3 linked regions of the Drosophila melanogaster genome follow. The protein of the gene in region 1 interacts with the protein of each later gene in a pairwise test. Each region holds a gene or a part of one and is shown in the gene's direction. Other genes may lie near its edges. The genes, in order: PAN3, CycK and PAN2.

Evidence for each region.
Region 2: the proteins of PAN3 (region 1) and CycK interact in a two-hybrid assay, tested with the Drosophila melanogaster proteins (3 studies listed by BioGRID).
Region 3: the proteins of PAN3 (region 1) and PAN2 interact in binary tests that used the Drosophila melanogaster proteins (3 or more experiments, as listed by UniProt).

Annotation. Positions count from the first base shown.
Region 1 is NT_037436.4:3,069,030-3,072,783, forward strand, and holds the start of PAN3 (Poly(A) specific ribonuclease subunit PAN3), read left to right. Parts: upstream 1-2,103; 5' UTR 2,104-2,278; intron 2,279-3,517; exon of another isoform or gene 3,518-3,731; intron 3,732-3,754. Other genes in the region: CG32486 (uncharacterized protein), read right to left, coding at 1,133-1,510. UniProt on the Drosophila melanogaster protein: Regulatory subunit of the poly(A)-nuclease (PAN) deadenylation complex, one of two cytoplasmic mRNA deadenylases involved in general and miRNA-mediated mRNA turnover.
Region 2 is NT_033779.5:22,128,371-22,132,124, reverse strand, and holds the start of CycK (cyclin K), read left to right. Parts: upstream 1-1,982; 5' UTR 1,983-2,401; coding exon 2,402-3,604; 3' UTR 3,605-3,754.
Region 3 is NT_033778.4:8,926,150-8,929,903, forward strand, and holds the start of PAN2 (Poly(A)-binding protein-dependent poly(A) ribonuclease 2), read left to right. Parts: upstream 1-2,019; 5' UTR 2,020-2,150; coding exon 2,151-2,205; intron 2,206-2,308; coding exon 2,309-2,499; intron 2,500-2,559; coding exon 2,560-2,729; intron 2,730-2,786; coding exon 2,787-3,754. Other genes in the region: CG8237 (uncharacterized protein), read left to right, coding at 1-590; AIMP1 (aaRS-interacting multifunctional protein 1), read right to left, coding at 923-1,735, 1,792-1,950. UniProt on the Drosophila melanogaster protein: Catalytic subunit of the poly(A)-nuclease (PAN) deadenylation complex, one of two cytoplasmic mRNA deadenylases involved in general and miRNA-mediated mRNA turnover.

The DNA of each region.
Region 1 (3,754 bases):
CAAACGGCTCCGAGCTCTCAATAATGGGGTCAGCCATCATCAGATACATTAACGAAACAATACAGATTAACGGTATCGATTACGACGGCACGGTTGACACGTTCCCTGAACAGACGGATTTTGATCTTCCCCCCATGCGAAAAGTAACTAGGAATACCACTATTACGGTACTAAGCCTAGAAAAACTGCACCTCGAAGCCACCCAAACAATGGATAAAATCCTGGCCGTCCATCACAATACTATACAGCACACCTGGACACTCTACACTCTGCTCGGATTGGTAACGTTCCTAGCAGTCATCTTATGGCTGCACCGACGAACGAAACACATCGTCCACATCCACGAGGATCATCACGTACCAATCTACGCGTCATCCATACCTTCGCTATGGCCGTCACTTCGAACTGGGGGGGGAGGAGTTACCACCCCACCCCCTAAACCCCCACGCCTCTAAACAAATCATCGGACACTCAACCGGGAAGACGGCAACTGGAACACCGCATCCGGCCGAATGCTGACATTCCGGCCGAATGCTGACATTACACAAAAGTCGCACTGCAACATTGTCCCCAGCTAGCCAGCCACATGCCGAGTCGGCATGTTCATTATGCTTACAATTAAGAACCTATGTACTTATGTATAAGACGAAAACGGAGGACTCGAGTAGCCACTCTCTGACAATAAACTTCATACTGATTTTGAACTTCAAGAAAGTCAGTCGTATTCTTTATTGGAAATCTTCACACTACAACTATCTGCTGAAACTTAAAAACCTTCATACATTTACACATCATATCTTCACAAAAGGCTCCACCCTCGATCACGGACTTAACTCCCGCCCTCGCTCCCCCTCGCACTCTTTCAATGTTTTCAAGGCGAATAATGCAAGAGCGCCCCAGCTAGACGTCTCGCTCTCGCACAGCTGTGTCTTGCTAGGGTGGAGAGAGGGAGAGAGGTGTTTTACTCTTACAGCTGAGCTGCCACGATTTGTTTGTATACAGAATGAGGCGCACACACACACGCGCACTTGCTGTTTTTCTTCTTTCGCTTTTAAAGCTCTTACTTCCTTTTTTTGATTCTAGTTTACAAGGGCTTATAGTTCAAGCCGCTGTAAATAATCCAAAAACTCACCTGGTACATGGCCGTCTTGGGCAAATCCAGGCAGACGGCACAGCACAGGGCATTGGAGATGCGGTGGGCCAGCTTTTCGTGCATTCCCGAGGCGGCTGCGGCACTGGAAAGCAAGCTGCTGCCGCTGCTGCTGGTGGCACCACCGCCCCCTCCGTCCAACAACTGTTTCTTGGCCGGCGGTTCTCCGCTGCCCTGCGTGTCCAGCGGCACGCCCACCACATTGCCGCCGCCCACCGACGAGGAGGACGACGATGTGGAAGAGGAAGAGGCCGAGGAGGCGGAGCTGGTCGTGGCCACCGCCTGGTTGTCGCCCAGGAGCGGTAGGTTCGAGGACGACGGCGGCTGTTGGACCGCCGAACTGGAGGATTCCACCGACATGATTGGAAATTTTCTTGGAATAATGTTTGTTGTGTTTTTCTTTGCCACTCGCTTCGTACACAAACTCCCACACACACGACCACTAAACTACTACACACACACAAGCAATACCCAGTTTGCTCTCTCTCTCTTTCGCTCGCACACTAAGTATGGCACTTTCTTTCAATTGCCACCTTTCCCCGCTGTCCGTGTCGTGTCGTTCTCTTCTGTGTTCTTCCGTTCTGTTCTGTTTGCAAGCTTTTTGTCCGCCGACACGTCCGCTCGCCAAAAAATTTGTTGTCTTTCTAGAGAGTGTTGTGCGGTGTGACCAAATCTTATATTAGGCAAAATACTAGTATAACGTATCGATGTTATTGGCAAAGCCTATCGATGTTTTTCTATTGTCTGTGTTTCTCCAGCCCTGGTTGATCGTTAGCAGGGACACCATCCCCTTTACAAAGTAATAAAATAACAAATATTATTAAATTAACCATTTCAAAATAAAATAGCATTAAAATAATATAGCAAAATCTGCCTTCATATATATAATTTTACAAGTATATTATTGAAAACGAATCCATTCGTGTTTAATGTGCTGCCCTTATATCCGGCAGTACGGAACTCGTCACTCGCGAGATGCGGTCACACTGCTTGCGGCAAACGGAAAACATGTAAGAAATTAAATATTGTGATTTTGTCTTTAAAATGTACAAAAGTTTGACAAAACACAAACGGCAGGTTCTTTATGAAGTCACCTCTCGCAAAGTGAACTATGACTGGTCAGTGGAGGTACGGAAAACGTGGATTAAAGAGCGAAAAATCGCAGTTTTCTCAGCAGACATTTTTGTATCACTTCGCTGTGCGCTGTGTGTTTGGCATTTTTTGTGTTTGTGTGTGTGTGTGCAACAGCGGCATCAATTTGAAAAATAACAAAAACAAATCGTTGGCGTGTTGAACAAAAAACTATACGTATTTGCTATCTGGCTTGCGTTATAAGAACCATTTGGACAAATTGCGTCTTAAAAATTTGGTGACCAAGATGGCTTCAATTTCATTTTCGGTGGTGAATTAAAAACTTTAATGAAAATAAAAACTTAATGAATTGACTTTTAATTCACGTGCAATTATTATGAAAATTTTTGAAAATTAAAATAAAAATATTTCCAAAAACGTTGTAACAAAACTACACTTATAAATTGGCTTTTGGCTTGCTTAGTGAACTTAGTTAATTATTTCCAGCTGTTCCCACTCAAAAAACAAATCGTATACATATGTGTTCTTATTTCCTTTGCTCCTGCTTTTTCTCTTCCCCTTCTTTTCGTTCCCTTCCCCTTTGCGTCCTCTTCCCCTTTTCCTAGCCAGCTGTTTGTCGCGTTCCACAAATATGGCTGGAGTGTGGATCGCGTTTGGAGCCCAGGCTCCCACATTTCTCTATGTGGAACGCAACCTGTGGCCAGCTGTTGGGTCCTGTTGAACTCCCCCCAGCCAAAAACTTACATATGTATATGTATTTATTTTGTGTATATATGCATGTGTGTATAACAACGCCAATTGCTAGGGTTTCTGCAAAACGTCCTGGCCACTTGAAGGTGAAGTGTTACAATACCATAAAGGGGTTTCGCCATTTTTAAAAGTTATTTTATTACATTATATTCAATAATGGAACTTCAGTAGCGTGTCAAAGGATTTCTCTTTGAAAGAATACGTATTTCATATCCAGCATTTATCAGCTGAAAAACATGAGGGACTTTATACAATCTGTTAAATTTCTTTGCATAAAATGATATATATGTTAATTAAAATTATTAACAATAGCTAAAGTCCATGTAACCCCTTGAGCGCGGATGTTTTCCCAACACTCCTCGAATGGAATCCACATCCACTTTGTTGCACACACAGCTGGCAGTTGTTGTTTTTATCCGACCTCCTGTGCACACACACACACAGACGGACGTACATGTATACAACACTCGGGGGTCGTTTGTGGACTCCATTTGGCTTGGCTGTTGGATCTTCTTTGCGTTTTCTTCATTCGTGCAGCGCCAATCGCGCGGTGTGTGTGTTGCGTTTTTCTTATTTGCAAAATCGTTGGAAAATGGTAATGAAAATGTATACAATATAGCAACAGCAGCTCCTTTCAAGGAAATATCCTCATTAAAGTAATTACGGTACTGAAAGCAATTCAAAAGCTAACAATGAAACAGGCAATTAACTACACAATATGTTGGCTTAGGTTCAGTGTGTATGTATTTTGGATGGTGTTAA
Region 2 (3,754 bases), on another chromosome or scaffold:
TAAATACCTAAAAGCGTAAAAATAACTACATATTAATGCACAAACAATAAAATTGAATGCATACTAACTTTTCTTATGCTTAAAATATTACAAATGTGTGTATATTATTAGTTTAAGTTTCAAATTAGTGAGTAAATGAATTTTTCACATTTCTTTATCTTTAAGTCATTTTTGAAAGGCAGGTGGTAATTGTGAGCCTGCACTAGTTTTAGGAGATAATAATTACGTGTTTATTTTAAACAAAATCGGAAGGTACTAGTCAGTAAGCATTAATTATTATTTTTTAAATAAGGCAAATATGTATATTTTAAAATATGAAATACATGTATGTATGTCCGTATAAATAAAACCGTGAAATCAAATGTCGATTAAGTCATTTGACATAGCCAAGCCAGGAAATTTGCGGCTGATCCAAAAATATCTACCTGAGTGTAGCATAGGTGGGATAAATTTGGGCAATACGACCAAGATCGTCATCGTTCTCCAATTGGGAATCCTTCCGTGTACGCCGAACTGGTAGGCTGGGCATCGCTTAGCTTCGAACCCAATTACGAATATAGCAAATTTATACGCGGTATTTGTAGCTTTCCCAGGATAACAACACAATCCGCATAGACGGAATCTGCGATCAGGGGTGATCAAACGTTAGAATTTGCACAACATTTGGGTTTGTTTACCTTTTTGAAGTTCGAGATCGTAATTGCTTGTCTTGTGAGACGTAGATAGTTTTCAACGTTGGGGGTACTCCGGCCTTGGTTGTTAACCGCAACCAAATACTTAGCATGCAATTGGCGCAGTCGAATGACGGAAATTCACATTCCCTAAGTGCTCGTTAAATAGAAGTTAAAATACTAGAATTGTATACATATACTGAATCACTTGGTGAAAGAAATATAAAATGTTTGTTATCACTGATAAATTTTAATATACATTTTTAAATTCAATCAAAGTCAATTCCATATTATCTGTACTTCATTAAAAAATATAATATTATTAAAACAATACGATCCCCACCGGCGTTGTATATTTTCACCGATTTTACGTGTTTCATTCATTCTTGAGTTTCCCCTGATACGTGTCTGCGTGCTGCTGGATGTTCTTTGAGTTTTGTAAAATTTTATTTAAGTCAATGATCACTTGAGCGGTAAGGTTTGAAAATATGTTCACTAGCCTAAGTGCATGATTCAAAGAAAAATATACATAACATTTTCTACGTTAAAAAGAAGCATCTCGACTGATTTGGTTGTTTCGCTCTATCAAGCTCACGTTTCGGTTTTCCATTATTATGTAATTTGAGTGATATATATCGATTTTTAAGAATTTAACACACATTATAGAAACATAAAAAATATAGAAACATAATAAAATTATAGTGCCATCACTCGCGTTTATATTAATAATAAAAGAAAGAATACTATAGTCGAGTTCCAAGGCTATCAAATAACCGTTACCAGCTAGTGTGAATACAAACGCGAAATTGCATCAATTTTATGGAATATCGATAGATAATGGGATATAAAATGATAAAAAATTTCAAAATTGTTCCAAAGTGTGGCATTAGGGCGTTAGAGTGCGCGTGGCAAAAATTTTATTGACAAATCGATAGAAATTAAAAAGACTAATTAAATTATAGTCAGATCGACTAGGATATTGGTCCTGATCAAGAATATATATACCTTAAATGGTCGGAATACGAAAATACGACTAACGGTTATAATAAATTCATCACCACATTACTAGAAGTAATTACTATTAAATAGAAAGCGCTTACACTGCTCATAATCTTGTTATTACATTTTATAATGTTTAACGAATGCTATCTATGCTTTAAATTGAAATACTTGTTATCCAGTAGGATTATACATAATGAATTATTTCAATATACCATTTAACAACAAAACAAATTGCGCAATTCCCATCACTAATCCCTATGCTTGGTTTGATATCTCCAAAACATGGAAATGCGATTCCAGTGTAAACATCCCATTTGTTCCTCGTAACAGTCAAAGGACGGCCAAAACCACGTGTAAATATATCTGTTTAATTATATCCCAAAATTAAGTCACCAAAACTAGCAAACGCACAAAAAATATTCAGTTTGACCCGCAAGAGATCGAAAATTTTTGCGTTATCTATTTACCAATAAAGTTGTTCCATATACTCAAAATCGTCGTGGTCTTGGTGTAAAAGGGGCTTCCAATAAAGTTTTTTTCTTCATCGTCGTAGACATGGTAACACTGCAAGTGAACATAAAAATCGAAAACTGATTTATTTACAATAAACAAAAGCGCTTATCGGCTCCAGGACGCGCATATGCTGACAACCATTTGGCTAAAGGTTTAACACAAATTCCTTCCAACGACGCGGACTACTGGTAGTACCCGCAGCCTAAATTGCCGCGATGCCGTGCTGGTATTACGACAAAAAGGAGCTGCGGGAGACGCCCTCGATCTTGGATGGAATAAGCTTCGAAACGGAGCGGCGGTACAGAAAAGAAGGTGCTCGATTTATTATGGAATGTGGCACCAAAATGGGCTTGGGCCACAACACGATGGCCACCGGCGTTGTATATTTTCACCGATTTTACATGTTTCATTCGTTCCGGAGTTTCCCCCGGTACGTGACTGCGTGCTGCTGCCTGTTCTTTGCTGGCAAGGTGGAGGAGACGCCAAAGAAGTGTCGCGACATTATTAAAACTGCGCGTGGCATCCTTACCGACAATTACTTCTACTCGTTTGGCGACGACCCTAAGGAGGAGGTGATGACGCTAGAGCGTATTCTGCTGCAGACCATCAAATTCGATTTGCAAGTAGAGCATCCTTACACCTTTCTCCTAAAGTACGCTAAGTGTTTCAAAGGCGACCAGCAGAAGCTGCAAAAGATGGTGCAAATGGCGTGGAACTTCGTCAACGACTCTCTCAGCACAGTAGTTTGTCTACAGTGGGAGCCGGAGATTATCGCCGTGGCTCTTATCCATTTGGCCAGCAAGCTAAGCAAATTCACTGTGCAAGACTGGGAGGGCCGCCAGCCACAGCAGCAGCGTTGGTGGGATATGTTTGTGTCTGATGTAACGATGGAAATACTCGAAGACATCTGCCACCAAGTTCTGGACCTGTACCAATCAACCCAAAAAGAAGCGCTCCAGCCAACCAGTCCGCCCCAAAAGCCACCAAGCAGAGCCGACAGTCCAAAATCCGGCAAGCTTACCAATTCTACGGGTATTGGACCACTTTCCGTTCCACAACAGCCGCCGCCCCCCGTATGTGGCAACGGTGGCGTGCTGGAAGTTAGCAACATTCAGAGCATTAAATCCCTAGCCAGTGGCGTGCCAATCATTGGTCCTAGCGACTCCCAGAACCTGTTACAGGGCCCAACACCACCAGGTCAGCCATCCGGGTACCACATTTATCATGCTCCTCCACCGCCGCCCCCGCCGGTAGTGCCTATGCCGCCGTACCCCTCTTCCGGATGGGGAGTCCAGCAGACAGTGGTCGGACACTATAGCGGGAGCGCTGCACCACCACCACCAATGCCGCCTAGCTTGCCTCCAGGAGCCAGTGGATACTACAACGCCGGTGGGCGTCCATCGCAGCAGCGCTACTAGTAGATGCAATGACTAATAAACAAGTAAAAAAAATTTGTATATTAAAACTAGCGAACCGTTCGGAATAGGATTTAGAGCGGGGATCTTCGTACGGTTCGGTTTTCTTTTTTGGTTACACTCTAGGCCCAATATTGTCCCGGGGTATTTATC
Region 3 (3,754 bases), on another chromosome or scaffold:
CGGAGACCATCGATATGTTCATCCTTTTCATTGTGAAAATCATCATTACCTTCGGGGTGGTCAACCTGTTCAACATAGAGTTCGATGAGGACGTGATTCGGCGCACCCTGGACCAAGAAGACCTCTTTTCGAACTTCTTTGACACATCACTAGATTTTATTTCGATGTCCACCGACCTCCTGCTAATCGAAATGCTGACCAAGTTCATCGTTTGCTGCTACGAAGCGCTGTGGACATACCTATACCAAGGGGCTACGCCGGGCAAGTCGCTGATGAAGATACGCATATACTATGTGGAAGCAGTGATGCCGCTTCAGGGGCCGCCCCTTCCACAGTTCGTCCTCCAGCCGCAGAGGGAGCCGATGAGGGCTCTGCTTTATCCGCCACAGACTCCCTCGCTGATGCGCTCCTTCGCCCGCGCGCTGATCAAGAACCTGGGGATGACCCTGCTCTTCCCCATTTGCGTGTTGATGGTCTTCTTCAAGAACAATCGCACCGCCTACGACGTCCTAACCAAAACGATTGTGGTGGAGAGCAATTCCATTGCCGTGTTCCGCACCCAAGGGCAAGCGCAGCGCAATAATCGCTGAGGACGGCACTTAAACCAGCCAAAGTGTGTAGGAATGGCGCACTCCTATGCACTTCCTATGCACATATAAATAGACTTGTTAATGATAAATTTAATGTCGTTATGTACTGCTGTCGTGTGAAATAAAATAAAATATCACATGAATACCTCAGAATCTGCACGATAATCAAACATAACCAGTAATCCCAATGATCAGTAGAGCTTCCGATATTCCTGTAGAGCTACTCTTCACTGGTACTAGAAACTGAATGATAATGAAGTTCTGATACTGAAATGGTGTGCAGGCGGTGATGTTTCGTTTATTGGCTCAAAGCTTTAGTTTCGTTTATTGGCTCACTTCACATTGACGTTCTTCAGGGTTTGGGCCACCACGTTGCCCTTGCCAGGAACATGGAGAGCGGCGCCCTTGTAGCAGGCAACCAGTTCGCCGTTGGTCTTCAGATCCGGGGCGCACGACTCAAAGATCTTCTTCTTGGGGTTGAGCTGGGCGTCTGGCTGGCGCGGATAGCCCTCGCAGTGAACCAGGTCGCCGGGAACAGCTCCGGCGGGCGGACTGAGCACTTCCACTTTTTCCGGTGTAGATGCGCACATGACCATAGCCTCCGAGGTGACGCCGCGCATTTTGGCCGGCTTCAGGTTACACATGACCACTACCAGACGGTTCTGCATCTCTTCCAGGGGCACGAACTTCACCAGACCGGACACCACGGTGCGTGGAGCCGCCTCGCCGCAGTCGATCTTCTCCAGATACAAGCTGTCGGCGTCGGGATGGCGACCCACCTCCACAATCTTGCCCACGCGTAAATCCAGGCGACCGACGTCGACGGGAGCCTCCGGAGCGGCGGCGGGCTTCTCGGCGGCCGGTTTCTTCTCCTTGGACTTCTTTTCCTTGGGCTCCTTGGCCGGCTTAGGAGCCGGGGCAGCGGGTGCAGCGGTAGCAGGTCCAGCCTCTGCCGGCATAACTACTGGGGCCGCACTGGTGCAGAAACCCCGGGCTCCAGGCACCGGAATCTGTTTCTTGCCATTTCGCAGCTCCAGCTGCACCAGCTGGGCCAAAGCCGCCTCAACTTCCTTGGCCAGTGCAGCGTTCTCCTTGATCAGCTCCTGCTTCTGGCGCTCCACAAGTTGCTGCTGGATGCCGGAAATCTGGGGGGCAGTAGGTTATCGAGTGTTCGCAGGCGCTGGCAGGCGGAAATACTTGCCTCGGCTTCAATGGAGTTGATCAGCGCCTCGGCGCGCTCGTTGTTGCTTGCAATCTGCTGCAGATCGGCCATTGTTCTTTTGTTTCTCGCGAATTTTGAGCAATTCTGGCCGTAATTTTTACATGCGGATCCCACAGTCGTGGCAGCTCTACGCAGCATTGCAGTGCTTCTTCTTGCCACGCACAGTGGCGTCGCGCAGCGTTGGACAGGTAGTTCGTTGGCGGAGAAGCGAGAGTATTTTTACATCAGCCCTGCCAGGGTCACTCTAATCGGTGCAACGCAAAAACGGCTGGCAGTTTTGAGCGAAATTTGTTAAAAAATAAACAATAAAAAGTCGCGTGGGCATCGGCGTGCGGCAGATGGATTACGTGTATTGCGGCACCGACCCCATCGGGGCCTCCGAAGACATACTAAGTGGGTCAAGGGGTCGCTTTGGGGCCAACGCTCACCCACACGCACACACACACGCAAGCCAGCTAAAGCTTTCTCCTTTGTTTTCTGTTTACTTTTTGAAAAGGTGTTTATGACGCGGGATCTGCGCCGGGAAACGGGCACTTTTCGCCCAGCTTCAATGGATTCAACATCGGCACCACCGATCCGGAATATGTGGAGCTTGTGCCCGTGCTTGCCGACGGCGGGGAGCACTTCGGCGTTTCCAGCGTGGCGTTCGACGACTACGAAGAGCTGCTGTGGATGGGCAACCAGGGCGTGAGTTCCTCGTCCAGCCTGCCAGGCTTACTAATCCTGAATCTTCGCTCCTTCCCGCAGGGCCACGTCACATCGTACTACACAAACTCCATGCAGAAGTACACATCCTTTCAGGTCCACGCCACCGACATTGTGCGCGACATCTCCACCCTGGACTCCGGAGTGCTGGCGCTCACGCAGACCTCGCTGCGTCATCAGATCCGCAGGGGTCTGCCCAAGTTTACCTTCAAGTAAGCCACCGCGCTGGCACAAAGATTCCCCGAAAGTGAGGTTTCAATTTCTTGCAGATCGAACAACATGAAGGAGATGGTGAGCATGCTGCAGCTATCACCGCATCGTCTGGTCATGGCCGGACTGCAGGACGAGCTTATCGACTTCGACCTGCGCACGCTCAAGGAAACCCGCATAGAGCATGTGGGTGCCGGCGGATGCACGGTGCTACGCAAGAATTCACGTTATCTGTTTGCCGGCGACCAGCTGGGAACGGTAACGTTGCGCGACCTGAACAGCCTGAGTGTTCAGCACACAATCAAGACGCACACCAACATCCTTTCGGACTTCAGTGTCCAGGGAAATCTGCTAATCTCTTGCGGCTACAGCGGAAGGCAAAATAACCTGGCCATCGACCGCTTCCTAATGGTCTACGATCTGCGCATGCTGCGCCTGATCGCGCCCATTCAAGTGATGATTGATCCGCAGATGTTGAAGTTCCTGCCATCGCTGACATCCCAACTGGCCGTCGTGTCCAGCTACGGCCAGGTTCAGCTGGTGGACACTGTGGAGCTCAGCGAGCCGCGAGTATCCATGTACCAGATCAACACCAACGGCAGCCAGTGCCTCAGCTTCGACATTAGCTCCTCTTCACAGGCCATGGCATTTGGGGACCAGTCGGGCCACATCAACATGATTGCCGCTGTACAAACGCCTCAGCCGCAGTTCAATCTCTACTCGCGAAGCACAGAGTTTGCGGACGTGGTGCCACAGCTGCCGATGGTCTCCATTACGGACACCAACTTTCCGCTATCGTCGGTCATGCTACCGCACTTGACGACGGGCACACAATGGTTCTCAGATTGGCCGGAGGAACTGCTGCGCTACCGCTACCACAGGCCCAAGACCATTGATCCCGAAGTGCTGAGCAACATGAAAATGCAGGGACCGATTGGATACTCGCCAAACCCACGCACCGCCCGTCGTAATCAAATTCCGTACGTGATTGAGCAGGGCGGCGTGTGCAGTCCGAACGGAAATGGAA